Linked DNA regions of Rhinolophus ferrumequinum. The protein of the gene in region 4 interacts with the protein of the main gene of each other region in a pairwise test. Links are inferred from orthologs where the notes say so. Each region holds a gene or a part of one and is shown on either strand. Other genes may lie near its edges. The genes, in order: RNF146, SENP2, JAGN1 and KASH5.

Region 1 (6,989 bases), on a different chromosome or scaffold from region 4:
TCAAACCTTACAACTTTTGATATACAAACACCTCCCAAAATAAAAGCAATGGCTGGTAAAAGAAAGAATAGAGAGATTGGCTGTAATTTAGCAGATACATTTTAGTATTTCTTAAGAAAGAGTCCCAAATTGAGAGCTGTAATGTAAGTAAATGCCCTAATGTTTTCATTTTTAGCTTTCCTTCTCATGCCCTGTTAAAATTCCACTTAGAAAGCACAGGGCATACTGGGAAACAAAAGCCTTCCATAAAAACTCATTTCAACTAAATGGGGTCCAATGCTTTATTTTAAATAATTATTCCCCTTACTGTATAGCAAGCACTTCCCTTAAAAGACATTACTGGATGGCAATCTATGGCCTTCATAATCTTCATACTCAAGCATTAAACCTTTAAATTTCGCCCCCAAAATTGTGGGCTTTGCATTTTAGTTTAACAAAACATGAAATGTGAATGTGAACAAATATAATCTTTTAATCATATCAAACACAAGTTTCATAGTCTGCAGTCATTTCGTAAATAAGAAAGGCTCTGCTGATAATTATCTGCGTGACCTCGGTCAAGTCATAACTCCCATTCACGTCTTAGTTCTTTCACCCTATTCTACACTTCTATAATTCTAAATTATAAATATTTTAATTAACAGTCATTTAACAACAGGTTTTGTTTTAATTAACCCAAAAGGTAATATACACTAAGTAGTCCATAAATAAGCACAAGTGGTTGCAGCAGAACGTTAGTAAGGTGGTTTCCATACCCACAAAATTGTTCCTAATCCATCCAGTTGGTTCCTTAGGCACAATCAGAAGCCAGGAAAAGGCTCAGCAGCTTGTTACTAACACTGGAAAAAAAAAAGCATTAAAATATCCAACTGACAGTGTATCAGACATTTCATGATAGTAAATGGCTAATACATAAAATAATATTGTCTAAACAGATCAATATTGTGAAAAAATGTAATACTTCCTTTTTCTTCTAAGTCAGATGGTTTTTGGATCCTTTAAAAAAAAAAATCTGCCCAATTCTTCTTACAATTCAAGTTGGTGTAAACTGAAACAAAATATTTTACCAGTTGACAAATGTCTCCTCAAAGAAAAAACACCATTTTTTTCCTTCCTCTTGTCTAATGACCAGCTCTTTGGAAATATAGTTTTCCTGATGATTATAATTCTATCCAATTTTTTCTTAACAACCAGTAAATAACAAAAAAACCTAAAAATGTCTACCATTATTTTCATTTTGCCCACAACTCACATTGGCTCATTTGAAACATAAATTCTAAATCAATAATCGGGCTTAACAAAATGTCCCAATTTAAGATATACACAGCTAAAACAAACATATTCAAAATCTATTTCTAGAGTGGCTTTCACTCTTCTGGTTTTCTCTTTAAAATGAGATTTACCTGACCTATTTTCATGTGTTTTTAAAACATCCAGGCACTTATCACAAACGGTATTTGCTGGTCACAAAAACATCAAAGCCGGTATCATAAATCCTGTGTGTGGGGTCATTTTCTTCATGCGTCCTAGATACCACAGTCTTTTAAAAATCTAAATATAGATTTATTTTTTTTTTAAAAAAAAGTCTTCCAATTTCTCTAATTATATACTGCTTTCAATGCCAATGTTATACTTTCACATACTATTTACAAAGTAAGAACATGGGGTGGGGGAAGAGCCTGAAATGTCAATCATACAAAGACAAAGCGTTTTCTATCATTTCTTGGCTTCTTCTCCCCTCAATTCGTTTCAACAATTCAAAAATATTACTTAAACAAAATGTAGGTATACCATCGAAACTTAAGAAATAAATACTCACTAAAATAGTACTTGGGAAAAGAAATAAAAATATATACGAAAACGGGTAATACAGGGGGAAAAAAAATCTAGTTGCCAGAATGTGTGTGTCAACTCAAAACAATTTTGCACCGTTTCTCTAGACGCCGGTGGAAAATAAAATAGCAACAACAATGGAAGACCCGTACTCTTTCCGACGGGATGAGGGGTAGGGAGAGAACTGCGCACCCAACAACCAGAAGAACAAAGCAACAGCCTCGGCTTTAAGATGCGCTGGGGTGTTGGAGGCTCAAAGGGTATTTAGAGATCTCTTAATTGTTCGGATGCTTTAATAACCATCAAAACGACTCTGATACGCAGCGCAGGGTTTAACTAAGACCAAGTGGTGGAACTACTCTTCGTATAAGGCAAGACCCAGACCCTGAGCAGGGCGTAGGGGAGAAGGAAGAGAAAGAAGCAGTCAAAGACACTCCGGAAAAAGACAAAATGCAGGGACTGTACACCCTGGATGAGATTTAAACCAAGGCCCGGATAGAGGCCTCCACAAGGGAAATAGGAAGCAGGATACCCCCCAAAACCATCGCCGCCCCTAAGTGTTGAGGCCAGAAGGTTCCCGGGTAGAGGCCTGACACCACGGCCGAGAGGAGAAGAGATGGATCTGGCTGCCACCAAAGGTAGCGACGAGGACCCCGGCGGAAGAGGCTGCGCAGTAATGGCCGCTGCTCCGCCTCTCGCACCCTGACCGTGACCAGCTCCGGGCCGTCGCCCAGGACAGGGGCTGCGGCGGTAGCCGGCAACGCAGAGCCCGTCACAGTCTTCTTGCCTGCGACACCAGCCACAGTGGGGGCGGCGGGAAGGGCTGAGCGGTCCCATCCCATCCCGCCCCGGGGCGGACAACCGCGGCCGGGCAGGCCCAAGGGCGTCCACCAACGTACCGGCCCCTGGCCCCGCCGCCGCCCCTCTCAGGCCCAGAACGCAGGGCTGACCCGGAGCGCGTTGTGGCAGGAGGTGACACCGAGGGCCATCGCTCCTCTTCCCGAGTCAGGAACCAGGAGTGACTGACTTCCACCCTGCCCCCCGCGAGGGCTTCGCCCCGACTCCCACCTCTCTGGCCACAGCCGCGGTGGCCTCGCAGTCTTTTCTCGTCGGCCTCGGAACCCGCAGCGGCCGGGGACGCGCGCGGCCGTCACGTGACCGCCCGTCGTGTCGCGGGGGCGGGGCCGCGCGGGGCGGAAGCAGCACCGCGCACCCGGGAGCTCTCGCTAGCCCCTCCCTACCCACTCTTCCCCTCCCGCTCGCTGCCGTTAAATCGTGGTGCCGGTTGCCTGCCTTTTCCTGCCTTTGGGGAGCTATAGTTTCGTTACCTGGATTCTTCTAACTGCTTTATATTTTGCTTTAGTTGTAACTGGGTATAAAGACTGAAAGTACGGGTCCCACAGAGAGAGAAAGAGATTTGGGGCCAAGGAAGTAAGACACGCACAGGACCAGCAGATGGGGCTGCTCAGAAACCCAGCTTCCAGACCTAGCTGGATTTGGGGTTGAAGAGCTCTTGGCGAAGTACTCCTTGTTCTCTTTCAAAAAAAGGTCCTCTAGGACGTTCCAGTTTATTCACCGTCTGGATGGTTGAGTAATTCAATCGAAAAAAAAAAAAGAATCTTAATTTTTGTTTTGGGCCATTTGTCTTAGGCATAGGAAGCTGGAGGAAGAGATTAATCAGTATAAGAATCTAAAACTAAAGAAAATGGCTTATTTTGTTGCATGCCTGTGGTTTTAAACATCAAAATCTAGGCAGTATCCTCCATTTCATTTCAGCATATACATTATCTTTTTCGAAACTGACTGTATTTTCTTCATTTGTTGTAAAATGAACAGGGCGGAAAAGCACGCTTTTGTCTTTTAAAAGAGTATATGTGAGTAAATTTCAACATTCCAGGCCAGTATCTTTTTACTGGCAATGCTATTGCATTTGAGATCTCATTAACTGTTTATTCAAGGCTGGAAGGTTTCAGTGTTCTTATATATAGAAATGTGTACATTTTCTTTTATTCCTCTGAAATCAACGTGTGTGTGTGTGTGTGTGTGTGTGTGTGTGTCTATATATATATATATAGAGAGAGAGATGTACTAGGTCAGACAATTAAGTTCTCAAACTCATCCTAGAAAAAGTGCTGCATTCCTCATTGCTGAATATCACTACGGTCATCTTTAAAGTACTCCCCTTGGGAAGTTATGCCCAGTGACACCAGGGCATAATCCACCCTTCAAAGCAATTTTGGAACTCTTTTTCTGGAATGCCCATCAGAGTTGTCGTCCTATTACCCTTGATGTCCTGAATGTCATCAAAATGTCTTTCTTTAAATATTTCCTTTATCTTTGGGTAAAGAAAGAAGTCATTGGGGGTCAGAGGTGTTCCAATGCAGTTATTTGTCTACTTGCTAAAATCTCCCTCACAGACAGCGCCATGTGACCTGGTGCATTGTCGAGATGCAAGAGCCTTGAATTGTTGGTGAAAAGTTTAGGTCGTCTGACTTTTTCACGCAGCCTTTTCAGCACTTCCAAATAGTAAACTTGGTTAACTGTCCAGTTTGTATGAATTCATAATGAATAATCCCTCTGGTATCAAAAAAGGTTTGCAACATCATTGCAACAAATTCTCGGACTTAATTGTCAGACCCTTCATGTCTGTGTGTGTGTGTGTGTGTGTGTGTGTACACACACATATAAATGTAACCAATTTTTGAAGAATGCTATCTAGCTCAGTGATGATTTTACTCAGGTAAGTAAAAGCAACATTTTTATAAATTCTTTAAATGTGGTATAAAATTCTTTAAATTCTTTAAATATTGAATAATTATTCAATTATATAAATATTGAATAAATATTTATAAATTCTTTAAATATTGAACCATATATTCCCCATCTTTAAACTTAATCCCCTATCTTTATGCTCTCCTTAGCCATCCAGTTTTACCCCACTATCTTACACACCCCATGAAGATACTACCAAAAATTTGATACGTACTTGAAGATTCCAGCTCTACGAGATAATACTACTATTAACTAACAATGTGCAAGGCATTGTTTTAAGTGCTTTACATGTATGAGCTCATAATAAACAGTGAGGTAGGTACTGTTGTTATTCCCATTTTACAGAAATAGGCTCAGCTGGGATTTAAATCCAGACAGGGACTGTAAGAATTCACCTTGTTCAATTCTTCATTTTATCAATTAATAAATAGGTATAACAAATTAAATGACTTGCTTATAATCTTTTCTTGTTGAAGATAGAACCGGGATCAGAACACAGGTATGCTTCCTGATCCATAAATACTTTTAATTTAGGAAAAGTTATTCACAGTTCTTCAGTTGTTCTAGGCACGTATTTTAGAAGTTTCACTAAAATAATATAATTTAGATTATGTTTATCTACCTATCCATCTGAAAGCAAGAAATGAATTAATCAACAGGAATCCCACTAAAATGCCCTACCAGGCTTCCAACCCTCTCAGCCACACCCATAATCGTGGTCATTTCAATAAATAGCTCCATCTTTCCTTATCCAAACCCATTTTTAATTCCTTTTGTTTATGTCCAGTATCCATTTTGCAAATAATCTGTTGGCTCTTCCTTCAAAACACACCCAGAATCTAACTATTGACCACCTCTATTACAAACAACAGCATCTCTTGTTTGGATTATTGCCATAGCCCAAAGCCTGGTTGTCTTGCTTCTGTCCTCCCTTTCCTTTGAGTTTATTCCCAATACAGAGGCCAAAGTAAACTTATTAAAAAGGAAGTCAGATTACACGACCCCTCTACTCAAAGTCTCCCATGGCTTCCCAAAACAAAGTAAAAACCAAAGTCCTTAATAGCTTTAAGACTCCCCTTATTACCTCCTTGACCTCACAAACTGCTCACTCAGCTTAGTGATCCAAGAACACTCTACACAAGGTCTCAACCTCAGTTTTTGCAGTTTCCTGTGCTTAGAACTTTCTTCGCCATCATGGCTTCCTCCCTCTGTTTGTGCTCAAAAGTCATCTTTTCTCTCAGTCCTCTACTTGCCACCCTATTTTAAATTATGACCTCTCCTAGTCCAGATATTTCTTATTCCTCCCTTTACTTTTTCTCTCTAATACTTATCGAAATGTAAGGGATCATTTAGTTTGCTTATTCATCTTATATATCTCTCTACACTAGAACACAAATCACTCAAGGGCAGGGATTTGTATTCTATTTTGTATCCCAACTGCCAAGAATAGCGCCTGACACATTTAGACAAGCTCCCTCTGAATATGTGCACACACATTTATATACCAAATAATATATAAATGAAGAAAAACTTCTTGTTATGTGTCAAGGCATACTACTGCATATATAACTTCTTGTTATATATGCAGTAGTATGCACCCCACCTCCGCCAGCCACCTGAAAGATACTGATGAGTTTTTATCTATGAATAATATAGGACAGCACTTCTCAACATTGTCAGAAGTGTTTTTAAAGTAATTGGTTTCAATAATTTTTAAAATGCCCAAACTTTCAAATGATTTACTTAAAGAAATCAGAGCCTAAAAAATTTAAGGTATGTCTGTAATAATGTTACTGTCACTGGCATTCTATTTTGCTTCACTGAATCAAAGATAAAGGAGTTGCAACAGACTGCTAGGAATTGCTCATCTTTCATAACCTAATGTCTGTTTCCCGCAAGTGTATAAAATGCTTTCATGAATACCACACATCTATCTCCAGGCACCCCTTTTCTCTGTATTCTCTCAACACTCAAAAATGTTTGATGTTATTTATTTTGCTTAATGATCAAAATATTCTTTTTGTTTTGTTAATATCTGGAGACATCCATGAAAATGTGCATGAGAAAATCATACGTGGTATAGTGGAAAATGTACTGAAAACCATTGATACATGTCATCTAGGGCAGTGCTTTTCAAAATGTTTTCTAGTGTTCTCTGGGGTCCTTGAGATCCTTTCAGAGGGTCCCAGACGTGAAGATTATTTCAATAATACTATTAAGATGCTAGCTGCCTAATACACTCTCATTCTCTCTCTCCAGCATACAGTGGAGTTTACCTAAGGCTACATGATATGTGATGTAGAAACATATTGAATGTAGATGCAGATATTAGAATTTGCCTATGTTTCTTAAGCCAGGCATTAAAGAGATTTGCAAAGCATAAA
Region 2 (7,225 bases), on a different chromosome or scaffold from region 4:
TCAGGAGAATTCTGCACCTTCGTCAGACAACCCTTTCCTGGAGCATGCACACAGAGTTGTCTGTGCGAGGAGCAAATCTATGGACAAATCCACCCCTATAATTTGGAAGGTCTATTGTTGTGACTTCTGCCTTGGGCTCCCATTTGGAAACATCGTGAACCACTTGAGGGTGAAGGGGACCAAAAGTTTTCCCTTTTGGGATATTGAGTTTTAATCTGCTTATTAAGAAATGACTCAGAAAATAAAAAAAAAAGAAATGACTCAGAAAGAAACTTTGACCCTCCATCTTCTCCTGCCTAAGAGATTCAGAGGGAAAGACCCACTCCAGTAAGGAAGTCATAGGATGTTCCCCTTAGCAGCCTAATTTAAATTGAGTGTGGTGGATGGGAAGGTGTAAAACAGGGGCTGTTTACTAGATTATCCCATCTCATTGTTTCTGGATTGCCTAGCAAACATTTACCTGCCTTGTATGTTCCACTCTTCCTCAACTACCTGTGACTCATGCATTCGCACTTTTGAAATCTCAGACGCTACTCACTCTTTTTATCCTTTGTCCAAAATGACATATATACCTAATCTCACCTCACTGTCTTTGGAATTTGAATGTTTCTGTGAATTCCCCATGTACGTGTATTAAAAATTTAATTTTCTTCTGTTAATCTGTCTCTGGTTATTTGATTATTAGCCCAGCTAGAAAAATTTAGAAAGTGGGAGGGAAGTATTATTTTTTCAACCCCTACAAGGGGTTCCTGCTGTCTAAATCAGCAGGGTCTTTCTCATCTGGTGGCATCCTTCTCTTCTGGTTGCACCTCTGTGTTGGCTGGTCACCAAGATAACTGCCTCTCTCTTTTCATAGTACTCCCTAGGGCTATCCAAAGTAAATTTTAGGGTCGCCCCATATTTAAGTCAGACCACTCCCCAAACCTTCTAGAATTTGGTGGAAATCACCCCAGTCAATTTTAGTGATTCAGTAACAGAAACCAGAAATTTAATTTATAAATTTACTTTTCTTACTGAATAAGAACAACAATATAAATTTGCCTTCCTTAACAACAACAAAAGGCAACAAAACAACAACAACAACAAAAAGGATGAAAAAAGAGAGATCACTCTGAAAATAGCACAGAAGAGGGACTGGGTAGAAAAGGAGGTAACTATTGCAATGGTGTGGGAAATAACCAGGCCCTGAATGATAGCATTCCTTTGGCTTTGGAGAAGGGAAGGAAGGGAGCAGGTCTGTGGGAAATGTAGGATGCAGAACCGGCAAGTTAAATGATTTATTAGATATGAGAAGTAAGGAGGGGGAAGGAAACATGAAGAATTTAGCTATGCTGGGCCTTCACATATGTAAACACATTTCATCAGCCCATAAATCTGAGAGGCAGGTTTGATTAACTCTATTTTACAGATTAGGAAACTAGTTTAGGTAGGGTCTGGTGCTATTATTTCTCCTCACGAGGCAGGCCAAGCCACTTGTAGTCAATGTGAGCATATTTTATAATAAAATCTAGGACAAGAAAAACTGCACTTGCTTTTGGATAATAAGGCCAAGGTTATTATTAGATTGAATAAGATCAAAATTATGTTATTAGGAGGACACATTTTTCTTGAGTAGCAAAGAAGTTGGTCTCCAGAAGAAAACGAATCTTCAGGGTGGTGAATGATGTTAGATTTTAGGTATGTTAAGATGAAACCAAGAACATCTCACTTGTGGCCTCCTTCCCACTTCCATCAAATGGCTCGGAACTCTATTCAGGGGTCAGCCAAAACAAAGTTGAAAGGAAATCTTTTAACACTCTGAGGAAAATGGTAAAGTGAAAACTTGTAAGACTAAAGAATGGATTGGAGAACTGGGTCTTCATTGTTCTGTGGAGGGGAGGTACCAGTTAGAGGAAGAGGGGCTGGGCCTTGGAAAGGCTTGAAAGAGAGGATCTAACCTAGAAACAGACAGACGTCTTTTCAGAAAACTGGGGCAACCATTTAAGATACCTACTGAAAACTTAAGCGATGAGCTTGTGGCCCTGTGGTGGTACAAGGATGCAAGTTATCCAAACCAGGGGCAGAAATATCAATGTCCTTGTTACTTCATTTGGCTTTGGGATTCAACTCTGGCCCCCGGTGGGGTTTCTGGGTCCGGGAATGGCTGTGGCAGTGGTGGGGTTAAGGATAATCCCACTTTTTGACCAATGGATGGGCAGTGCCTGATGCCTCTACTGTGGATGACAGGGCAGCGAAGGCATCAATGGGCAGACAGGTCCCAGGCAGGAGCGACCGTAAGGCTGAGTCCCCTTCTTTTCTCCATTTCAGAGGTCAACTGGAGACAGTAGAACGACACAAAACGAGTGCAAGTATTCAGGGGGTGGGGGTGGCGGCTGACACACTCATGAGTTACTATTTGCTGATGAGGCCCAGGTATTTAGACTGAGGTCTGTAATTCCAAAGCCCTCCCACTTTTAATGGTGGGTGATTGACATGTCAGTATTGGGTATGTGCAGGTGCTATAGCTGAGGTAGGAAAAGAAAAAATGAAACATGTGGTGTCGTACTAGAGTACTTTGAGACTTGATGCTAATATTTCTTAAATCTCGGTGGTCAGAACCTGGGAGTTGATATTCTACAGCAGCTTATAGTTTTATGATTTATTTTTTGAATGGAGACTGCTTTTGTGTTTTGGGGACTCTTTTCCCAATACTTGAGTGATGTTCTTGGTTTGGCAAAAGCAAGGACCAGCTCTCATAATGGAGTGGACAGTTGGGACACAGCAGAATTGCTCTGCATAGTAATATCAATGTTAGTCTTAGATTAACAGAATCACCTGAAATGGGTTGGGTTAGAGGTGGAGGGGGATTCTTTTGTTGAGAAGAGTGTAGCGATGACCTGGGGTGGGGGAGCCAGGGAAGAGTCCTTTTGGGAAGCAATGGGCTATAGATGCTATACTTAAAATAGCCACTTCTAAATCTTATTTGAGGCTTTGCAATTCCCCTATTACAGTATTCCCAAACTTCCAGTAACATCCTGGTGTTGGCTGTGCTTTGGGGAATTAAGAGAGGGGCTATGTCCACATTTAGGATTTGTTTCCACCCTCTAGGAACTGCCTGCCCCCACACCCACGCCCGAAGCCAGAGTGGTGGTAGCCATAGGTGGGTAGCTGGTGGTTTTGGAGCTCTAGGGGATGGCTTGCAGCAGAATTCTGGAACATTGCTGTACTGGAGAGTGCCTATGTTGAAGTTTAAGCAAATCTGGAAGTCTGGCCTTAATTTAATCATAAGTAAGGATCAAGTGCAGTCAAGGACGGATTTGTGGGGCATGAAAATCTTTGAATATTCCCAGAATTGTTTGGGAGTGGGACGGGATTTTCTATCAGTAAGTAGGGTAGGACTTTTTCTGTTGTTGATAATTAACCAGAAATGTGACTTCTAGATACCAGAAATGTGATGAAGGTATCTGTGGCTTACTTGTACCTACTAGTCTCCCCCTGGGCTGGCAACACTCCCTGCCAGCCCACAGGGAGACTAGTAGGTAGTAGTGAGCCACAGGTACCTTTTCATTCTTAAGCTTCTGTAAAGCCATCCTGGAGTTCTGCCCTTCCCTTCCCTCAGCGTGTGGGTTTCTTTTCTCGGGCTCCTACTGCACTTTGTACACACCTTTATCACAGCAGCCAGTTATCTCGTAATTTGTCTCTGTCAGTAGATCTTAAGGGAGGGATTGGCGCTGGTTCTCAGATCCCGGTTCAAATTCCAGCTATGGCACTAGCTAGCTTAGTGACATTAATCAAATAACGTAATCGCTCTATGCCTCGATTTCCTTATTTATTAAAAATGGGACAAGACTCTCTCCATTGCTTGCGGTTGGGAGAAACGAAGGTGACAATGAATGTCAAGTGCAAGGCAGAAGCAAAATAAAGGGCTCCTCGTATAGTAAACATTTGTTAATTAACCTAACTTACTTTTATTTTGTGTACTTAAACATTTACTGTATTTCAGTCCCGGGGCGCTCCCTCCCAGGAGGAGAAGCTTCACGTGTAGCCTGTGGGCCTTGTCCCGCGGGCCGGCTCAGGATTGGGTCCGCCGAAAAGAAAACCCCGCCCACAGCCCTTTCGCTCTCGTCCAGGATTGGACCACTACCGTCCTGCCGGCATTCTGGTTGCTAGGTTCGGAAGTGGGGGGCGTGTTAAGTTGCGCGTGCGCAGGTTGAGGAGGAAGGTGCTTTCCGGTCGGGTAGGAGGAGGTGACGTCAAGAACGGTTGCTCGCGGGAGCCTCCGGTAGCCCTGGGGACGTTGTATCTGTGGGCCTTCGGATCGCGTCACAAGTCGGCGACTGAACCTTAGCTGTGGTGGCTGAGGCGGCGAAGGCGGCAGCGGCGGCGACAGCTCTGGGGTTTGTGTCTCGGGGTGTGTCGGCCGCCGCTGCTGCTTGGGCCTGGTATGTACAAATGGCTGGTTAGGATCCTCGGCACCATTTTCCGCTTCTGTGACCGGCCGGTGCCCCCTGCCCGGGCCCCCCTGAAGAGGCGGCGCTCGAACAGGTGAGAGGAGAGGGGGCTGAGTGCGGGCCTGTGTGCCCCCCTCCCCCACCCCGGGCTCGGCCGCGATGGCGCTGAGCCAGCCGGGCAGGCCCCGCTCGGCCGAAACGCGTCACTGGGCCGAGGCGGCAGGCGTGCGGGTCGCGGGTTGCCTGGTGACGTAGTCGCTTCCTCCACCCTGTGTGGATGCGGCTCTTCCTGATGGAAAGAGCTAGTTGCCTTCGGAGCGGCCGGTGATGGTTAGGATCTTGGATATTCTTGTCCGAGTCCACGCTGTTTCCTGTCATCGAATGGGTATCATTTGTTGCCGCTCTTAGATTGCAACCGAAAAATGTGTTTTGGCTCACTGTTTACAAAGCACCCTCCCAAGTGTCATCTGTGGGCAATGAGTGCAGTTGAGATTGATATCTTGCCCAAAGCCGTTTGACTGCAAGTACTGTTCCCTTAGCACCGAAACAGCAGCTGTCTTGTTCTGAAACAGCTGTCAAACTGTGTGTGTGTGTGTGTGTGTGTGTGTGTGTGTGTGTTGGGAGAGAGGGAGGGAGAGTGGTTCTGTGCTTTAGAATTAGGGTATGAGAAAAAAAATAGGCACCTAATTCTTTTAAAAACATCACTAGTCTGTACTCTAAAATTCGGTTAAAATTTGGGGCAAACTAAAAGCTCTTCTTACTTAGCATGTACCCATTGGCTTGTCCCATTTCATAGTGAATACCCCCTTGCCTAGAATTAATCTAGAGAATAAAATATCATACCAATTCTATACACCTCCCAACTTTTAGTGATCAAGTGTTAATTTCATTATTTTACTAAACCTCCCTATCAGGGAAAGGTGGGTGTTTGCAGTTTGAGAGAATAAGATAATTAATACACGGGTCTGAGAATGCAGGTCATTGATGAAATTGACTGTTGGCTAAATTCCATTATGTGTTCCCAAGAGGGTAAGGTTTCAACTTGTTCTTCCTTTCCACCTTTCTGTAGGGTTGATATAAGGATCATTTGAGAACATGTTGTAAAGTGCCTAGAATGATGCTTAATACTATATATGAGAAGGGTAGTTGTTTATTCTACCCTGAGGGCCTCCTGCAAAGGTTGGTGTATGATAGGCACTTGGTACATATTTACAGGCACTTGGTACATATTCACTGAATAAGGGAATGTTAATTTGTTCTGCCCTGTTCTCTTTTTGCTACAAATCCCTGCTAGTCAGGGAGACAGTAGTTTGGAGGTAAAAAAAATCCTGTTCTTTACCACACATCATTGATCTAAAAACAATGCTTCTCAGTGTGAGCCATTTTTCCAGTCAAAATGAAGCCAGGAGTTCTCGTTGGGATGTTCAAAATAATGAACTCAGTGGTATTCTCCTGGGATTTATTCTGTTCACTTTTTTTGGTAAATATCATCAGTTGTAATCATCTTTAGAAAGGTGATTAGTAGTGTACCATGACCCTTTAACATTGTAGAAGTATAGGTCCAATAACTTTCTGAATTTTTAAATTCTTTATTACCACTGTAACATAGTTTCCATGTGAAAAAAATGCAGTTAAATATAACAGCTTTTCTGGTTAACTGTTAAGGCTTCTTATACGCGTATATATGCATTTATATATATATATATTTTTTTTCTCTTTTTTTTAGCACTGTGTTTTCTACAGTGGACACTGATGAGATACCAGCCAAAAGACCAAGACTAGGTATTGAATATTAATTTTAAAAATTCATTTTTTTTAGTAGGAAAAGTATATGCCTGGAATAAAATTTAAAAGGTAAAAAGTATATGCAATGAAAAGTCTTTCCTGTCCATTTTCTGCTCAGTTATCTTTTCTGGAGGTAACCATTGTTACCAGGGAATTAAGTATCTTTTCAGATAGATAAGCCTATATGTAGAACATACATTTTAAAATTCTTAATCTTCCTATAAAGAAAAGGTGGTTTTTAAATTTGAGGAGAAGACATTGTAAAAACTACTTCAAACAGAGTCACCCAGTCAAACAGCTGAATGAACCAATCTAATATGTTGCCTCAGATTGTTTACTTCCCTATAATCTGAAGGGCTAGACATAGCTTGGTAGAAGAGAATCAAATTAGATTAACGGGAAAAGGAATACAATGGAATACTATAATAATATTCTTTCTCAGAAATGCATGTGAATTTAGATTTACCTCTAGATGTGGTCATTAAGAGTGAACAAATCTGTATTAAGATTTCATTTAAATCCAATGAGTACTTACTGAGTGTCCTTATTGCTAAGTAGTGTCTTAGGTTCTACAGGAAATAGAAAAATGAGTAAGACAAGATCTCTATATTATTAAAGACCTTATAATTATAGGGGTATATGATTATCTGGGGGGGATATAAGACAAGCACATAAATAATACCAATGTCAGTGAGGATATAAAAATGAAATAAGAAAAGTTGTAACAAAATACTGTCCAATTTTCAGCTGGTTAAGAGTTTCAGTGAATATTTGAAGGAGCTAGTATGTAAGACGGGTCTTGAAGGATGAATAGGATATCAACAGAGAACAATAGGAAGGAAAAACTTTCTAGGTAGAGGGAATAGTATTGGAAAATTATGCAATTCAGGAAATAATGAACAGAACTCAGGAAAAAAATTGGCAAAAGAGAGGTCAGATTATGGAGGATTTTGAATGTCAGGAATATCCAAATTCATTAGGACAGTATTTTCCGAAGTATAGGATAGATA
Region 3 (7,691 bases), on a different chromosome or scaffold from region 4:
ATGTATGGCGCGTCCTGCCAATCAGCTACAGAGTGGCCACCATGACTTAAGTTCCTTACACCGTTCACTTCTCTATGGCCACCGCCAGGTTTCTCAGGAAGCTCCCACCTATCTCCTAGTGTCTAATGCCACTCAAGCAACGCATCATTCATTCTCTGTTAAAGCCCAAACACAAGGCACAGGGTGGACAGGGCAGTTATGACTTTATTGAGGTTTTTTAAATTAAAATGCTTCACAGTAGAAACCACAGCCTGCAGAGGAAGTAGCCTCCTAAATGCTTCCTGCCCAATGACCCACAGATTGAAGAATTTAGCTTATTCGCTATTTCCTTCCATCTCAGTGCCTAAGGGGTAATGGATGGAAGTGGAGAGAATGACCAAAAAGGGGCGAGGAAGAGGCTCGGTCTTAAAAGAAAAACCCTGAAGGGCCTCAACTTCAACTAGCTGAAGTTTGTCTTACAGCTATTCATCACCCAGTTCCAGCCATTCAGGAATAAGTTAAATACAGTTTTGCCACCTCAGCTGATGACAACAGGTGGAGCTTTCCAGAACTCGGGCCTCGTTTGCACTAGTTGCCAATATCACGGCTGCCAAAATCACCAAAGGAGATTTTAGGACAGCTCCTCTCCCGTCTCACTCCGCTCGGTGGGAGGCCCAGGCTTCGCCCCAGCAATCAGTCCATCTGGCAGGCTTCATTTACGCTTCTTCTCTTGTGTGCTGGTGAACCAAGAGTCTAGGAGCTTCTTGCTGTAGTATAACTGCCAGGCGTGTACTTGGACGGCCAGCACCAACACCAGGTACATGACGGAGACAGCAGAAAAACCGAAGAGGAAGCGGTAGGCCTTGCCATGGCGGTAGAGCTGCTGGGCAGCAGGGAACATCTCCATGCTGCCATAAATGAGGGGGGCGATGGAAAAGAGCCCCGTGCTGATCATGGAGAGCACCAGGTAGCTGATGTTGTTGCGGGGGAAGGAGAGGAGGCCCAAGAGCGAGGGCAGGATGCTCAGCAAATACGGGTACTCCCACTGATAGGGCATGGCCACTTGATCATGTGACAAGAGCCTCAGGTGTCCCACGCTCATCTTGGCAACCAGCAACAGCCATAAGACCAGATGCACGTAGATCAGCTTCTTGATTTCATACTTGAGGGTCACACTGTGGGGCAGAGCAGAGGGAGAAGTGCCTTGCATTCAAAATGTGCTGACCACCAACTATATGTCAGGCAAGTATACTGGACAATGAGATAGAAATGGGAATAAAATATAGTTCCTACCTAGAGGCTGGGCACAAGGAACACAGGAAGAAAAATAATTAGAAAACAAACTGAAGAGCTCTAGTTAACATACATTGCAAGTCACATGTGATGACAGGAAGCAGTAATCAATTCTGCTTGGGAAGCGATGTCTGAGAAGGCTATCTAGAGGAGGGTGACACTTGAGCAAGGCTCTGTGGGGCGGGTGGAGATGGGCATTCAAAGCAGAGGTAACTGCATGCAAGCAAGAAGGCTCGGATAGACATTTGTGTCCCAGGAGAGCCTATGGTGGGGTATGACAGGAATCTTAGAAGGGAGGGGAGAAGTGGGATATGAAGTTGCAAAGACTACAAAGTGTCAGTTTAAAGGCCAAAGTAACTCAGAGGAGTATTTAGAAAGATGACTTTGCACCGCAGGAGTATAGCCTAGAGGAAGGAGGTATTGGCAGGGAGAAAACCAGCTCATGCTGCTCATACTTCTCCAGCTAGTGTTGATTTTTCATCTAAAGGAGTATGCATTTCTTATTCTTCCAACTCTCACAGGTCCTAAATGTATCCTTTTCACATCCCAGAGGGCAGTTTCTGCTCTAGGCAGGCATGAAAACACTTGGGTTGTGAGGTATCCTTAGGCAAGGATTTTTAAGATAAAAGTCAGGGTCCAAAGAGCTTGTCATTCTTTAAAAATCTGGCGAGAAAGATGCAAAAAACATTCTGGAAGAGTTCAATGGATTTAAGGAAAGAAAATCTTTAAATATTTTTTTTATTTTTAAAATACTCATTATAGAAAGTGCGGAAATGTAGGGGAAAAAAATCAGTCACCTCTAGACTTCAAGATTCATTAAGCCAGGGACCTTTTCGTTTGTTGTTAATAAGCTTCTTTATTGAAGGTATAACATGCCTACAAAGACCACGTCTGCTTTTGCTCACTATCATATCCTCAGTGCCTAGCACAAAATGTATGATGGGTAGAAACGCAATAAATACGTATTTGTTGACTGAATAAACTAATGTAGAAATACTCCTTATGTGAGGGTGTTTATAAAATTCATTTTAGGTAGGGAAAGGCTGGCCTTTACGACGCTCATTCCCCAAAAGAGTCCGAAATGGAACACTCATCATGTATTGGGCAGACTCGTATTATGTGCTGGATCTTTTGCTACGTCCTTTATACAAATTATTAGCTCATTAATTCTTCACCCAACCCTAAAAGGTGTATTACTTTTTTCCATTTGCGGGTGAGAAAACTGAGGTTCAATTAAAAATTATGTCCCCGAGGTCACACAGCGGGGACAGCATCGCCGTGACTGGAGCCCAGGCGGGTCTGGACCCCCTCAAGTCACAGGGCGGATCAAGAGGTGGAGTCTATCGGAGCGACAGGGCTTCCCAGGATTGGGGACAGGCCGAGGGCCGTCGCGGGAGGAGGGGACTTGCCAGGTGAATCCGGGACTGGCTAGAGAGTAAGAGCTTAAGGCCGGGGGTATGTGGGGCGGGGGACGTTGCTTTCCAGGCCCTGCAGGCTCCGACTGGGGAGAAGGCCTCTGAGCGCATCGCCTCATTTCATACCTCATCTGGTAGTGCTTGGCGACGCGCTCCCGGTGCTGAAAGTCGCTGCCGTCAGTGCCGGCAGCTCGCGGGCCTGCCCGAGACGCCATTGGCCGAGTCACACGGACCCTCTGCCACCTGCAGATACCGTTCGCACCCCCTCAGCTCCGCCACCCCAACAGTCTTACAATGTGAGAACTTCCGGCCTTTCTGTCTCTGGAGGACCGACTCTATGGTCACTGCCCCCCTACACGCATGCGCACGCTTACGCGCGCGGTCTTTTTCTCGACCCGCTGGGGCCGCCCCTCTAGTGGAACGTGCCGGAAATTAACCCCGCCCCGCCCCTTCCACCCCCAGCGCTGGCATCTGTTTGCCTTCTACCTGTAGCGGATTCTCTCGCTACTCGAGCACTTTCACGTTCTTAAATTCTAATATGAGTTTAAGATGCCGTTGTCCCCATTTCACAGTTTGGCAGGGTTCTGTGACTTTCCTAAGAACATGTATCACACAGTCTCAAAGAATCGCCCCATGGGTTACATAATCGCTGCAAAGAGAATAGGGTAAGATTGCAGTGGAGAAACCTGGTGTGCACCCCCTCAACAAAGTAATCAAGGTTAACTTGACGATGGGTGGCCTGATGGCTCAGCTGGTTAGAGCGGGAGCTCTCAACGACAAGGTTGCTGGTTCAATTCCCACATGGGATGGTGGGCTGCGCCCCCTGCAACTAAAGATTGAAAACTGCGACTGGACCTGGAGCTGAACTGCGCCCTCCACAACCACATTGAAGGACAACAACTTGGAGCTGATGGGCCCTGGAGAAACACACTGTTCCCCAATATTCCCCAACAAAACATACACACACACACACACACATTAAACAATTTTTAAAAAGTTAACTTGACCACTAATTGATAGGTCGGCAGATTAAGGAATATACATGGTCAGGCGAATTAAGAAAATTTTTATCGTAAGAGAGAAAAATCTATAGGGCTGAGCAAAAGATGGCTATAGCCCGGGGCTGAATCTAGAGGAGATTGCAGCCCGGAGGGAGAGGGTGAGGAGGATTTTATAGGGGTTATGCTGACAGCGTACATTGTTAGAACAGAAAATGCTGACTGCCTGTAGTCAGTAGCTGTTTTGTGGCGTTTTCTGTTATCTCAAGTTTGGCTCTGTCTCAGGTGCAGGCCAACAGACATTTTGTTATTTTCTTGCAGACGTGGCTCTGCCTATAAGTCGAGGACTCTGAGACCAACATTCAGAGACCTAACACTAATGACACCTCGTGCCTCCTGATACTCTGAGATATTCCTGCCAAAGACCTGGATCTAATCATGAAGAGATGACAGATAACTCAAAATAACTGGACTGTACTTTTTAAAAATGTCAGTGCCATTAAAGAAAAATAAATTGTATAGAGGCAGAAAGTTGAATGGTGGTTGCCAAGGCCTTGGGGAAAAGGGAATGAGGAGTTGTTTAATGGGTACAGAGATGAAAAGGAAGACGAAAAAAGTTCGGGAGATGAATGGGGTGATGGTGGCACAAAGTGTGAAAATACTTAATGTCACTAAACTTAAAAAATGGTTAATTTACCTATGTAACTTTACTAACAATTGTCATCCCAATAAACTTTTTTTAAATGGTTAATTTTATGTTATGTACATTTTACCACAATTTAAAAATTAAACACATAAAATTTAAAATTATCTGAAAAAAGCATCTTTTTATATGTTTACAGGTCATTTGAATTTCATTTCCCTGAACTGTGTTCATGTTCTTTGCCCACTTTTCTACTGTTGGTCGTTTCAATTCACATACAGATAGAAGAGGGAGAAGACAGAAGAGAGGAGGGAGGGAGGGAGAGAGGGAGAGAGAGACAGGAGATTGGCCTCTTGTCTATATTCGTTGCAATGTATTTTTCCTATTTATTGCACGTATTTTGACTTTACTCATAGTATTACAAGTTTAACATGCAGAATATTTTTTGTAATGTAGTTGAATGTATAATTTTTTCTTTTTTGGACTTCTCAATTTTGAGTAGTAGCCAGAGTCCTTCTCCACTCCAAGGTGTCTCAAATGATTTTTCTGCACTTTTGAGTTGGAGAACCACGTGCAGACATCTGCCTCCCCCCTGGAATATGATCTTTTCTAAGAGGGATAAGAGCCAAATCATGTGTGTCCCCAGCAGCCCACTATGCCTGGCATAGTGTAAAAGCTCAAGAAATGCTTGTTGAATAAAAAAATTCCAACTGAGACAAAACTATCCACTTCTCCTACACACCTGAAGAATCCTCAGGTTCATGAAGCCATTCTCCCTCCCACCCCCACCCCCACCCCTCCAACAGATATTCTCCGGCTTTGGCTTGTAGTTATCTTTGTCTTCATTGAGTCTGCGGCTCATGATGCACCAGGTGTTCTTCAGGGCAAGACTGCTTGTGAGTCATCCATTCGCCGATCATGGGACACCAAGCACATGATGAACAGTCAATAAATGTTTGAGGCATGAATGTCCAAGGGAGGGGCCGAAACTCTTTCACTAGAACTTTCTCCCCAAAGTATTTGTTTATATGTACTTTTCTACTGGGTCTTGGTCTGCCTTAAATTTTAGTGATTTGTGTTCCTGTCTCTTCACCCTGCTCATTCCCTTCTCAAATCCTTTGCAATGATGTTTCCTTTGCCTTGAATGTTTCTTCTCCTCCAGGACTTCAAAAGACTGGCGGTCAAGCCCAGGCAGAATGCTGTAAACTGAATGTTTGTGCCCCCACCCTCACCCCGTAATACATATGTCGAAACCTAATCCCCATTGTGATGGTATTTGGAGGTGGGGTTTTTGGGAGGTGGTATTATGGAAGAGATTCCCTTGCCCCTCCATCACGAACCAGAAAGTGGGCCCTCATCAGACCAAATCTGCTGGCCTATTGATCTTGGACTTGCCAGGTTCCAGAGCTGTGAGAAATAAATTTCTCTTGTTTATAAGCTGCCAGACTATGGTATTCTGCTATAGCAGCCCAAATGGACTAATGCACTCCAGGACTTCAAAAGACTGCCTTCTCACCAGTCAGGATTTAGCTGAAAGCTCCCCTCCCCTCACACTTTCCTAAATTCAAGGCCAATCTAGCTCTCCAGTCATTTGCTATCATATCACTGTGTTTTGTTTTCTTTCCAGAACATCATTATCTGAAATTATTTTATTTGCATATTTGTTCATGGTAAGAGGTCCCCCTCCTTCAAGAATGTCAGCTCATTGAACTGTAAGACAAGGCTGTCTTGTTTCCTGCTGTATTCTCTGCCCCAGGAGGGCTGGCACATAGCAACTAATAAATATTTGATTAATGAATGCATGATGGTTGCTTGGGAGCTCCTCCAGGGAAGGATTTAGATCTAAATAATAATGATGATGGTGATGATAGTAATAGTAACTATTTCTTGAACCTGAAGAATGTACTAAGTTCTATAGCAAGTACATTTCATGATTATCTCATTTAATCTTCATGACAACCTATTTTTAATTCCCATTTGTCAGATCCCACTGAAGCTTAGAGGAGTTACATCACAGTTTAGTGCTAGACTGCTGGTTTTCAAAGTGGGGTCCCTAAGTAGCTGCAGCTTCAGGACCATGTAGGAATCTGTTAGAAATACACTTTCGTAGGTCCTACCCCTGGTATACCAAGTCAGAGCCTCTGGGGTGGAGCCCAGCAATCTGAACTTTAACAAGCTCTCCAGGTGATTCTGATGCACTAGTGTGAAAAACTCTCTGCTAACAGAAAGATGAGCTTGGACTCTTTTTGCAAACCACATTAAAGAAAAAAAAAAAAGGGTGGTCATGCCTCAGTTGGTTAGAGCTCGAGCTCTGAACAACAGGGTTGCCAGTTCGATTCCCACATGGGCCAGTGAGCTGTGCTCTCCACAACTAGATTGAAAACAATGAGCTGCCGCTGAGCTTCTGGAGGAGAGGCCAGATGGCTCAGTTGGTTAGAGTGGGCGCTCTTAACAACAAGATTGCAGGTTCAATTCCCACATGGGATGGTGGGCTGCGCCCCCTGCAACTAAAGATTGAAAACGGCATCTGGACTTGGAGCTGAGCTGTGCCCTCCACAGTTAGATTGAATGACAACGACTTGGAGCTGCTGGGCCCTGGAGAAACACACTGTTCCCCAATATTCCCCAATAAAATTTATTTTTAAAAAAACATTATTGAGATATGATTCACATACAATTCTTGCACTCAAATGTCCAATTCAATTATTTTTAATATGTTTACAGAGTTGTGCAATTATTGCCAAAATAAATTGTGATTAGATTAATGGATTACAACATTTTGTCTCATCTGAAGGAAAGCCTGGACCCATTAGCACTCCCCATTCCTCTCCCACCCCCCAGCACCAGCCCTAAGCAATCACTAACTTATTTTCTGGCTTTATAATTTTGCCTATTCTGGACATTTCTTACAAGTGGAATCATAAAAATATACATGTGATCTTTTGTGACTGGCTTCTTTCACTTTGCAGAATGTTTTCAAAGTTCATTCTTGTAGTAGCATGTACCCTTTTTACTGACAAATAGCATTCAATTTATGGTTATACCACATTTTTTAATCCATTCATCAATCGATGAACATTTGGGTTGTTTCTATCTTTTGGCTATTATTATTATTGCTACGGACATTTGTGTATAAGTTTTTGTGTGGACGTATGTTTTTATCTCTCTTGGAAATCTACCTATCTTTCTATCTATCTAGCACTAGAATTGCTGGGTCATACGATCTTACCCTCTTCACACTACACATTTCAGCTAGTTTTAGTCTCTGCTATTATTAAATAATTATATTATCAATAACACCAATTTCTCTTGTATCAATTAAATGTCTCTGTTGAAAAGCCCTTTAATTTTATTATCGCGAAT
Region 4 (7,447 bases):
CTTGAAGACTTGTAAGAAAAAAGAGAATATCTCCAATACATGTTTATACTGATTATACGCTGAAAGGATACTACCTTTCTACTTTAGGTTAAATCAAAACTATTATTGCCATACATTTTGCCTGTTTCTTTTTTCTTTTAAATGTGCCTGTTAACAAAATTTAAAATTACATATACAGCTCGTGCGTCAGACAGTGCTGCTCTGAGAACTGGAAAGACCAGAGTGAATAAATAGCTGCCTGGTGGAGCTCCTGCTCTAGTGGGGGAGACGGAGACTGAACAGCCAGACAAACCAGTGTCAGTGCTATGAAGAGATGTAAAGCGGGAAAGAGGAGAGAGTGACAGGGCAGCTGCGCTACAGAGAGATGAGAGCTGAATGAAGACGGGTGAGCCCGTGGGTCACCGGGAAAGGGTGCTCCAGGCAGGGGACACAACAGGCACAGGCTTCTGCTCTGGCCTCCTCAGAGGAAAGGGGACAAGGGGCCAGACAGGTAGGCACACAGCAGGTTCCTTCCCTCCTACCCTGCACCAAGGCGGAGCCTCAGCCACCCCAAGCCACTTCTTCCAAGTCACAGCCTGGCGCCTCTTCACCCACGGCTCCCGCATCCTCCCACGGGGCAAACGGGGGCCCAGCCACCTACTTTTTGTAGCAGGGCTGCCTTCCAGGCTCTCTGGCAGGTCCATGGGACACCCTCCTCGCTCTGCAGCTGCTGCTGATGCTAACAGCCTCCCTCCATCACTGGGAAGGACGGAAAACGGACCAGCTGCCTGGAGAGCTCCTGGAGGAGAGCAGGGGAATGACCTCCTCAGACCAGCCACCCCAAGTTGGGGACCCACCTGTGCCCCAGGCTGCTCTGGGCTCTCAGAACCTGTTTGCCCACCCCTGCCTCCATCACAGCAGCTCTGGCTCAGACCTACTTAATGGATTGGCGGTGGGGGCTGGCAAAGGGGGGCTGGAGGAGTGAGTGGCACAGATCAAAGGGGGCCTAATGAGTGGGGGTCACTGCCTCCTCTCCACAGCTTGTCAAGTCCCCAGCCCTGTCCCTCCACCCCAATGACTCTACCCCGTCCCCTCCTCTCCTTTCCTAGGGCCCTGGCTCAGGCCTCGCCCTCTTCCCCGGGCCCTCATGCCAGCCTGCTTTCTGGCCTCCCAGCCTCCAGTCTCCCACTTTTGTCCATCCCCACCGGGCCCCAGAGCTGACCTGCCCCTCCCCTGTTCAATACTCTTCCATGGCTCCCTAGCATCCCAGGGACAAAGCCTCGACCCTGGACCTGGCGAAGGCCCGGCATGGCCTGGCCCCGCCTGCCTCTCTACCCCAAACCACACTTGCTGCTCCAGCAACTCTGAACTGTGCGCTGCTCCCCAAGCCAGGCTCCCTGTTCCCACCTCTGGAACACCCTACTTCCCAGTCCTTCCTGTCTCAGCTCGCAAGTCCCCTCCTCTGGGAAATGTTTCTGAACATTTGTCTGTGGGGTCCCTCACTGCCCGGGGCTACTGTCAGCCCGTATTTGGAACTGTCGGCCTCTGACGCGAGTTTGAGCCCATCGCTCCCCTGTTCGCAGCCCTCCCATGGCTCCCTAGTGCCCTCAGCACTAAGGCCTAGCTCCTCTGGCTAGTGTGGCACAGAATAGTCCCTGCAACTCCTTGCTTTTTATTTTTTAAATCACTTTTCTCTCCACTGGCTGACCTCCAGGCCCCTCGCCCTCATCCCGACCGTGGGCATTTAGCATCTTCCCATGGTCCTCCCAGGCCCAGAACATACCACACACACCGTCTCCACTTGTGGCCCCTGCTTTGGCCCCCAGTTCCCTGGGGAGGCTTCCGGAGTCCTCGGAGCAATTAGGGATTCCCTCCTCTGTGCCCCAACCGTGTCCTGTCCTGCCTCCATTATAACCAGGTTGACCATAAGACTTCTTGCCCCAACTCCAGGATACTTTCAAGAGTGAAAGGGGTGCGATTTAATAATTACACTGGACAATAGTGCCCATCACACTTGAGTACGCTGGGGCAAACGGTCAACACAGGGCGGCCGGGGACCTGCCCGTCCTCATCCCACCTGCTCAGCCCTCCTGTCCTCACCACCTACTCCCCACACCCTGCTCCCCGGGCGCCAGATGGGTCCACTGCTGTGGAGGGCACACTTCCTGGCGACGTTTAGAACATCCTAGAAAAAACGGTCTTTGAAACGAGACCCTTCCAGGGTTTGGATACTGCTGGGGCGCGCAGAAGGGGGTGGATGGCCCTGGGGCCTGAGTGGAGAAGGGTCCCTTTGAGGGTGCTGAGAGGCACTGGGAGCTTCTGACAGGGTGTGGGGGACACACTCCTGGTGAGGGACTAAGATGCTCTGGTCAACCTCAGGGGCCTCTGAGCGGGAGATTCTAGCAGGAGGACCCAGGCAGGAATTCTGGGGCTTTTGAAGGGGGATCTGGAACTTAGGGAGTCTCTGACTGGATTTCTGGGTCTCTGACTGGTTTTCAAGAGGATCTCCCACTGGATCTCTGAGTTTCTGGATTTCTGGGGAATCTGACGAGCTTTCTGGGGGATGTATGAGTGGATTTCAGGTCTCGGATATTTGAGAGGGGGAATCTAACAATTTTTGTGGGTTCCACAAGATTTCTGGACTTGGGGGGTTTGATAGGATTTGGGGAGGGAGCGTAACGGGATTTTGGGGAGGTCTAGGGCAGGGAGAAGACTGAGGGAGAAGACTGACAGAATTTCTAGAAGATTCTGACAAAATTTCGAGGATCTTCTATAAGATCTCCTGGTAGCTTCCTTTCAGTATTTCTGAGGGGATTTAGTCAGGATTTCAGGACTTTTAAGGAGACCCCTGATACTGGGGACCCTGCCCTATAATTTGGGGGCTTTGCCAGGATTTCGGGAGGGGTTTTGACAGAGCTAATCTGGGGAACCTCGCTACAGTCAGAGCGCACCTGAGGCCGAGGGCCACGGACGACGAACGGCAGTTGCCCAGGAAAAGGTGCCAGCGCGCTATTCCCACCGGAAAAGCAAAGGGAGGGGGCGGGACCGAGAGCGCGCTTGACGTCTAAACCCCTGCGCGTCTGGGCCCCTCCCTCAGCGCAGGCGCACATCGGAGGAAGGGGCGCGCTAGTTGGGCCGGTACCTGCAACTGCGAAGTTGCGCATGCGTAGGACTTCCCCAGCGCGCGCCCAGACCCGTGGAGCGGGCGCATGCGTGTTGGCCAAGCAGGTGAAGGCTGGCAGGATTAAGGGAGGAGGCGGCTACGTCCCCTGTGCTGGGGTCTTCTCTGCGGCCCCAAGATTCGGTGAAATAGGCCCAAGCAAGGGAGAATTGGCTTGAGAGACCCCTTGTTCATCCCCACTTCTTATCAGCTACTAAGCCGTGCTCGTGATGCCATCTGTTCCGTGACATGACAGTCTGCCCCTCACCATCACAATGATGTCTTGTCCTGTCCTGCCTCACCACTCCCGCGCCCTTTTGTAGCTCCAGTTAAGATGTATTAATAAGTCCCCGAAGGATTCTTCCCCAAACTGTTTCATTTACTCCTTTTAGGAGAGAGTGCGGAGAAAATATTCTCGCTTTTCTGGCTGGAGAGAGGAAGAGAATTACATCCAAAATTGAAGATCCTCCCAAGGAAGAGCATTTGGGACAAACGCGGTCCCACCCACTCAACCTCTCTGCTAGCCCACACTATCCACTTTTTAGTGGTCCTCATGGAACGTCTCAAAACGTGACATATTCTATATTTGTCTACTGTCACCCCCACTGGAATGTGACCTGTGTGCAGTAGGAGACTGTTTTGGGGCTAGAACATGCCTGGCTTGGTGTGGACGCTAAACAAAAGAAAAAGTTGAAGGGACTGAATCCATGCCTCTTAAGTACTGGGCAGTGTAGCGTGATGACAAGGTGGTGGGCCTGGAGTCAGATATTCTTAGGTTTGAATTTTGGCTCCACCACTTTCTAGCTGTGACCTTGGTACAATGGTTTACCCTCTCTAAGCCTGTTTTCCTTCCAGAAATGAAGATAATTGCTTCTTAGGTCACCTTGAGGACTTAAGGTGGTAATCCTTGTTATTAATAATTGATAGTTATTATTTTGGCTATTAATGGTGGCTTGTTACAAGGCCCGGGAAAAATCCTGTTTGGCAGGTGACGTGGTGAGTGGTTAAAAGAGATATTGAATCGGACAAACCTAGTGCCATTGCTGTGTGACTTTGGCAAGCGACTTCACATTTCTAAATATCAGCTTCTTCTCTAAAATGGGGACAAAAAATATCCACCTCATGATGTCTTACGAGAGTTCAATAAGAATGTTTGCCAAGTGTTTTCTTAGCACAGGCTGGCATGTGGTGGACCCCATTAATTTTATTAACATAATTTATTAGTATAATGGTATTATGTCAGTTTATTCCTTCCATATTTCTTGTTTCTTCCTTTTTTGAGGTCTGGGTAATTTTGTAATCCCTGAAAATTTTTTTTAAGAAGTTTATAGTGTAATGGTAACATACATAAAGTGCTAAATCTTAAGTTATAGCTCAATTAAACTTTTATAGCTGTCTTGAGTGCTTAGATCAGTGATATTTTTAGATTATTGATATTTAATCTTTGTAATATATGCATTTAAGGCCATAATTTGCTGAGACATTCTTGAGCTATATTCCACAAGTTTATGCCACCTTTCCATTATTATTCAGTTCAAAATATTTACTAATTTGACCTGCGCATTATTTTAGTGGTATATTGCTTCATTTCCAAACATTTTATGACTGTCTAGTTATCTTTTTATTGTCGAAACTTGTGATGGCCTGGTCGGCTGAGGTTTGGAGACATATCCTGAAAGGAGACAGTGCAGCTAGCTGTAAGAAGAAACTTTATTTCCATATGATCCTTGGGGTAGGGTCTAGTGGGGGTATATGCAGGTGTTCCCCTGTTCCCACCCCTATAGCTGCTGGGAGGGCCTGAGAATGTATAGGAAGTGGGTGTTTCGGGCAGGCAACTTGGAGTGGGAGGAACCTTGGGTCCCCTCTTCAAGGACGTCTTCTCGGGTCCCTTCACGGAGCCCGTCCCGGATGGCCTGCAGGCGGTGTCGCTTCTCGCTGAGCCAGTGGCCACCCTCCTGGGCACCTTGGTGGGACCTTCGTTGTGGCAGCTTCATGATCCAGAAGGCCACTCGGGAATGGGGCTCCGGGTGGAAGCTGTCCATGGCCTTTGGGACAGGCACCAGGGCTTCCTTGTCCTCTGTCTTGGGTACCTGGGAAAGAGGGACAAGGAGACCCTCTCAAACTCTAAATGACAACCTCAGGATGCTCAGACCCCACTGGCATATTCCATTCACTTTGTCACCTACAGGCCATTTTGGGAGTTAAAAACTCAGTTTGCAGTTTACAAAGCACTTGGATTAATAAGCGCTTTTGGATTCAAAAATACTCTGAGGTTTATGGACTACTTTGGGATTGAAAAAAATGCTTTGGAGGTTTCAAAAGCACTTTGGGGTTTAAAATGCCGGTTGGGATTACAAAGCACTTCAGGATTAAACATACTCTGAGGTTTGGAAAGCAGTTTGAAATGTACAAAGCACTTCGGGATTAAAAGCTCTTGGCTTTACTAAAGAAGCATAACCACAATTGCTACATGTGCTCCTTGATTGAATCCTGGTCCAAAATCAAATCAGCCTTACAGAGAGCTTTGGGGCCAGTAGGGATATTTGAATATGGTCTGTTTGGTCCTTGCTGCTCAAAGTGTGGGCTGTGGACCAGTGTCATCTGAGAGCTTGTTATATATGTAAATTATGGGCTGCAGCCCACTCAGACCTACTGAATCAGAGTCTGCATTTTAATAAGTTGAGGTCTGAGAAGTCCTGTAGGAGATTCTTATAGGTTGAACTGTGCCTCTCCCCATTCATATGTTGAATTTCTAACCCCCAGGACCTCAAACTGTGATTTTATCGTATTTCCCTAAAAATAAGACCTAGCCAGACCATCAACTCTAATGCGTCTTTTGGAGCAAAAATTATAGTAAGACCCAGTCTTATTTTACTATAAGACCGGGTCTTAATATAATATAATAAATATAATACCGGGTCCTATATTAATTTTTGCTCCAAAAGACACATTAGAGCTGATGGCCCAGCTAGGTCTTATTTTCAGGGAAACAGGGTATTTGGAAATAGTGTCATTACAGATTTAATTAGTTAGGATGAGGTCATCAGGGTGGCTTCTAATCTAGTATGGCTGGTGTCCTTATGCACAGGGGAAATTTGGACACAGAAGCGCAGACAGGGAGAACGTCATGAAGATGAAGCAGAGATGGAGGCGATGCATCTACACACAAAGGGTCCCCAAGGACTGTGAGCAAAACACTACACGGTAGGAGAAGGACCCGCCCTCACAGCTCTCACAAGGAGCTGACTTTGATCTTGGACACGTAGCTTCTAGAACCATGAGACAAAAAGTTCCTGTTATTTAAGCCACCCAGTCTGTGTGGTACTTTGTGATAGCAGCCCTCCCAAACAAATACAGAGATAATAGCTTGACATCGATATTAAACTTCTTGGGTGTAAAAATGGTACTGTGGTCATGTGGGAGAAGGCATTCTTCTTAGGAGATATCTGCTGAAGGATTTAGGGGTGAAGTGTCAGGTTGTCAATAGCTTATTGTCATATGGTTCAAAAATACAAAAGTAAAAATAAAGTAAGTGTGGTAAAATGCTAACAAGTGGTGAAGCGAGGCCAGTGGTTCTCAACCAAAGTCTGGAGACATTTTTGGTTGTAACAACTGGCCAGGGTGGGGGTGGTACTTCCCTCTAATGGGGAGAAGCAGGGATGCTGCTAAACATTTGACAGTGCAAAGGATGGCCCCATGTACAAATAAAACAAATATTATCCAGCCCACAAATGACAATGGTGCCAAGGTTGAGAAACCCTGCTCCGTGAAAAAGAGAATACAGATATGCTTATAGTACATTTTTCCCCCAACTTTTCTGTAGATTTGAAATTTAAAAAATAAAAAACGGGGTGTGTATGTGTGTGTGTGTGTGTGTGTGTGTGTGTGTGTGAACCATATGGGTTTGTCAAGCACTTGGCAGTTCTTAAAAATTTTTAGGATAAAAAAGCAAGCACTTTGGGGTTAGAGTCACTGAAAGGTTTACGAAGGTGAGAGACACAAAGCATTTGGGGTTCATAAAGCACTTTGGAATTAAAAATCACATTTTGAAGTTTACAAGGGGGAGATTTACCACTTTGGGATAGATTAAAAAAATATTTAAAGGTTTGCAGAGTATTTTGAGATAAAAACACTTTGAGGTTTGTGAGGGTGAAGTGCACCAAGCACTTGGAATTAAAAGCACTTCTTGGTTTACAAAACCCTCTGGGGTTTACTAAGCGAGTGGAGGGATGTACTCTAAGGTTGTATACCTCATTACTGAGAGCTGGTTAGTCCCTTTTGACAGACGACAAAACTGAGGCCCAGAGA

What was found.
Region 1: the proteins of KASH5 (region 4) and RNF146 interact in binary tests that used the Homo sapiens proteins (3 or more experiments, as listed by UniProt). The two-hybrid records come from large-scale screens. The link is inferred for Rhinolophus ferrumequinum from reciprocal best matches to the Homo sapiens genes KASH5 and RNF146.
Region 2: the proteins of KASH5 (region 4) and SENP2 interact in binary tests that used the Homo sapiens proteins (3 or more experiments, as listed by UniProt). The two-hybrid records come from large-scale screens. The link is inferred for Rhinolophus ferrumequinum from reciprocal best matches to the Homo sapiens genes KASH5 and SENP2.
Region 3: the proteins of KASH5 (region 4) and JAGN1 interact in binary tests that used the Homo sapiens proteins (3 or more experiments, as listed by UniProt). The two-hybrid records come from large-scale screens. The link is inferred for Rhinolophus ferrumequinum from reciprocal best matches to the Homo sapiens genes KASH5 and JAGN1.

The regions. Positions count from the first base shown.
Region 1 is NC_046286.1:75,588,615-75,595,603, reverse strand, and holds the start of RNF146 (E3 ubiquitin-protein ligase RNF146), read right to left. Parts: upstream 3,015-6,989; 5' UTR 2,902-3,014; intron 2,865-2,901; exon of another isoform or gene 2,733-2,864; intron 782-2,732; exon of another isoform or gene 756-781; intron 1-755. UniProt on the Homo sapiens protein: E3 ubiquitin-protein ligase that specifically binds poly-ADP-ribosylated (PARsylated) proteins and mediates their ubiquitination and subsequent degradation. May regulate many important biological processes, such as cell survival and DNA damage response.
Region 2 is NC_046285.1:59,833,712-59,840,936, reverse strand, and holds the start of SENP2 (sentrin-specific protease 2), read left to right. Parts: upstream 1-4,210; 5' UTR 4,211-4,423; coding exon 4,424-4,524; intron 4,525-6,156; coding exon 6,157-6,212; intron 6,213-7,225. UniProt on the Homo sapiens protein: Protease that catalyzes two essential functions in the SUMO pathway.
Region 3 is NC_046300.1:44,053,333-44,061,023, forward strand, and holds JAGN1 (protein jagunal homolog 1), read right to left. Parts: upstream 3,016-7,691; 5' UTR 2,903-3,015; coding exon 2,814-2,902; intron 1,155-2,813; coding exon 692-1,154; 3' UTR 187-691; downstream 1-186. UniProt on the Homo sapiens protein: Endoplasmic reticulum transmembrane protein involved in vesicle-mediated transport, which is required for neutrophil function.
Region 4 is NC_046298.1:44,556,722-44,564,168, reverse strand, and holds the start of KASH5 (protein KASH5), read right to left. Parts: upstream 3,012-7,447; 5' UTR 2,931-3,011; intron 779-2,930; 5' UTR 684-778; coding exon 641-683; intron 1-640. Other genes in the region: DKKL1 (dickkopf-like protein 1), read right to left, coding at 4,918-5,229. UniProt on the Homo sapiens protein: As a component of the LINC (LInker of Nucleoskeleton and Cytoskeleton) complex, involved in the connection between the nuclear lamina and the cytoskeleton.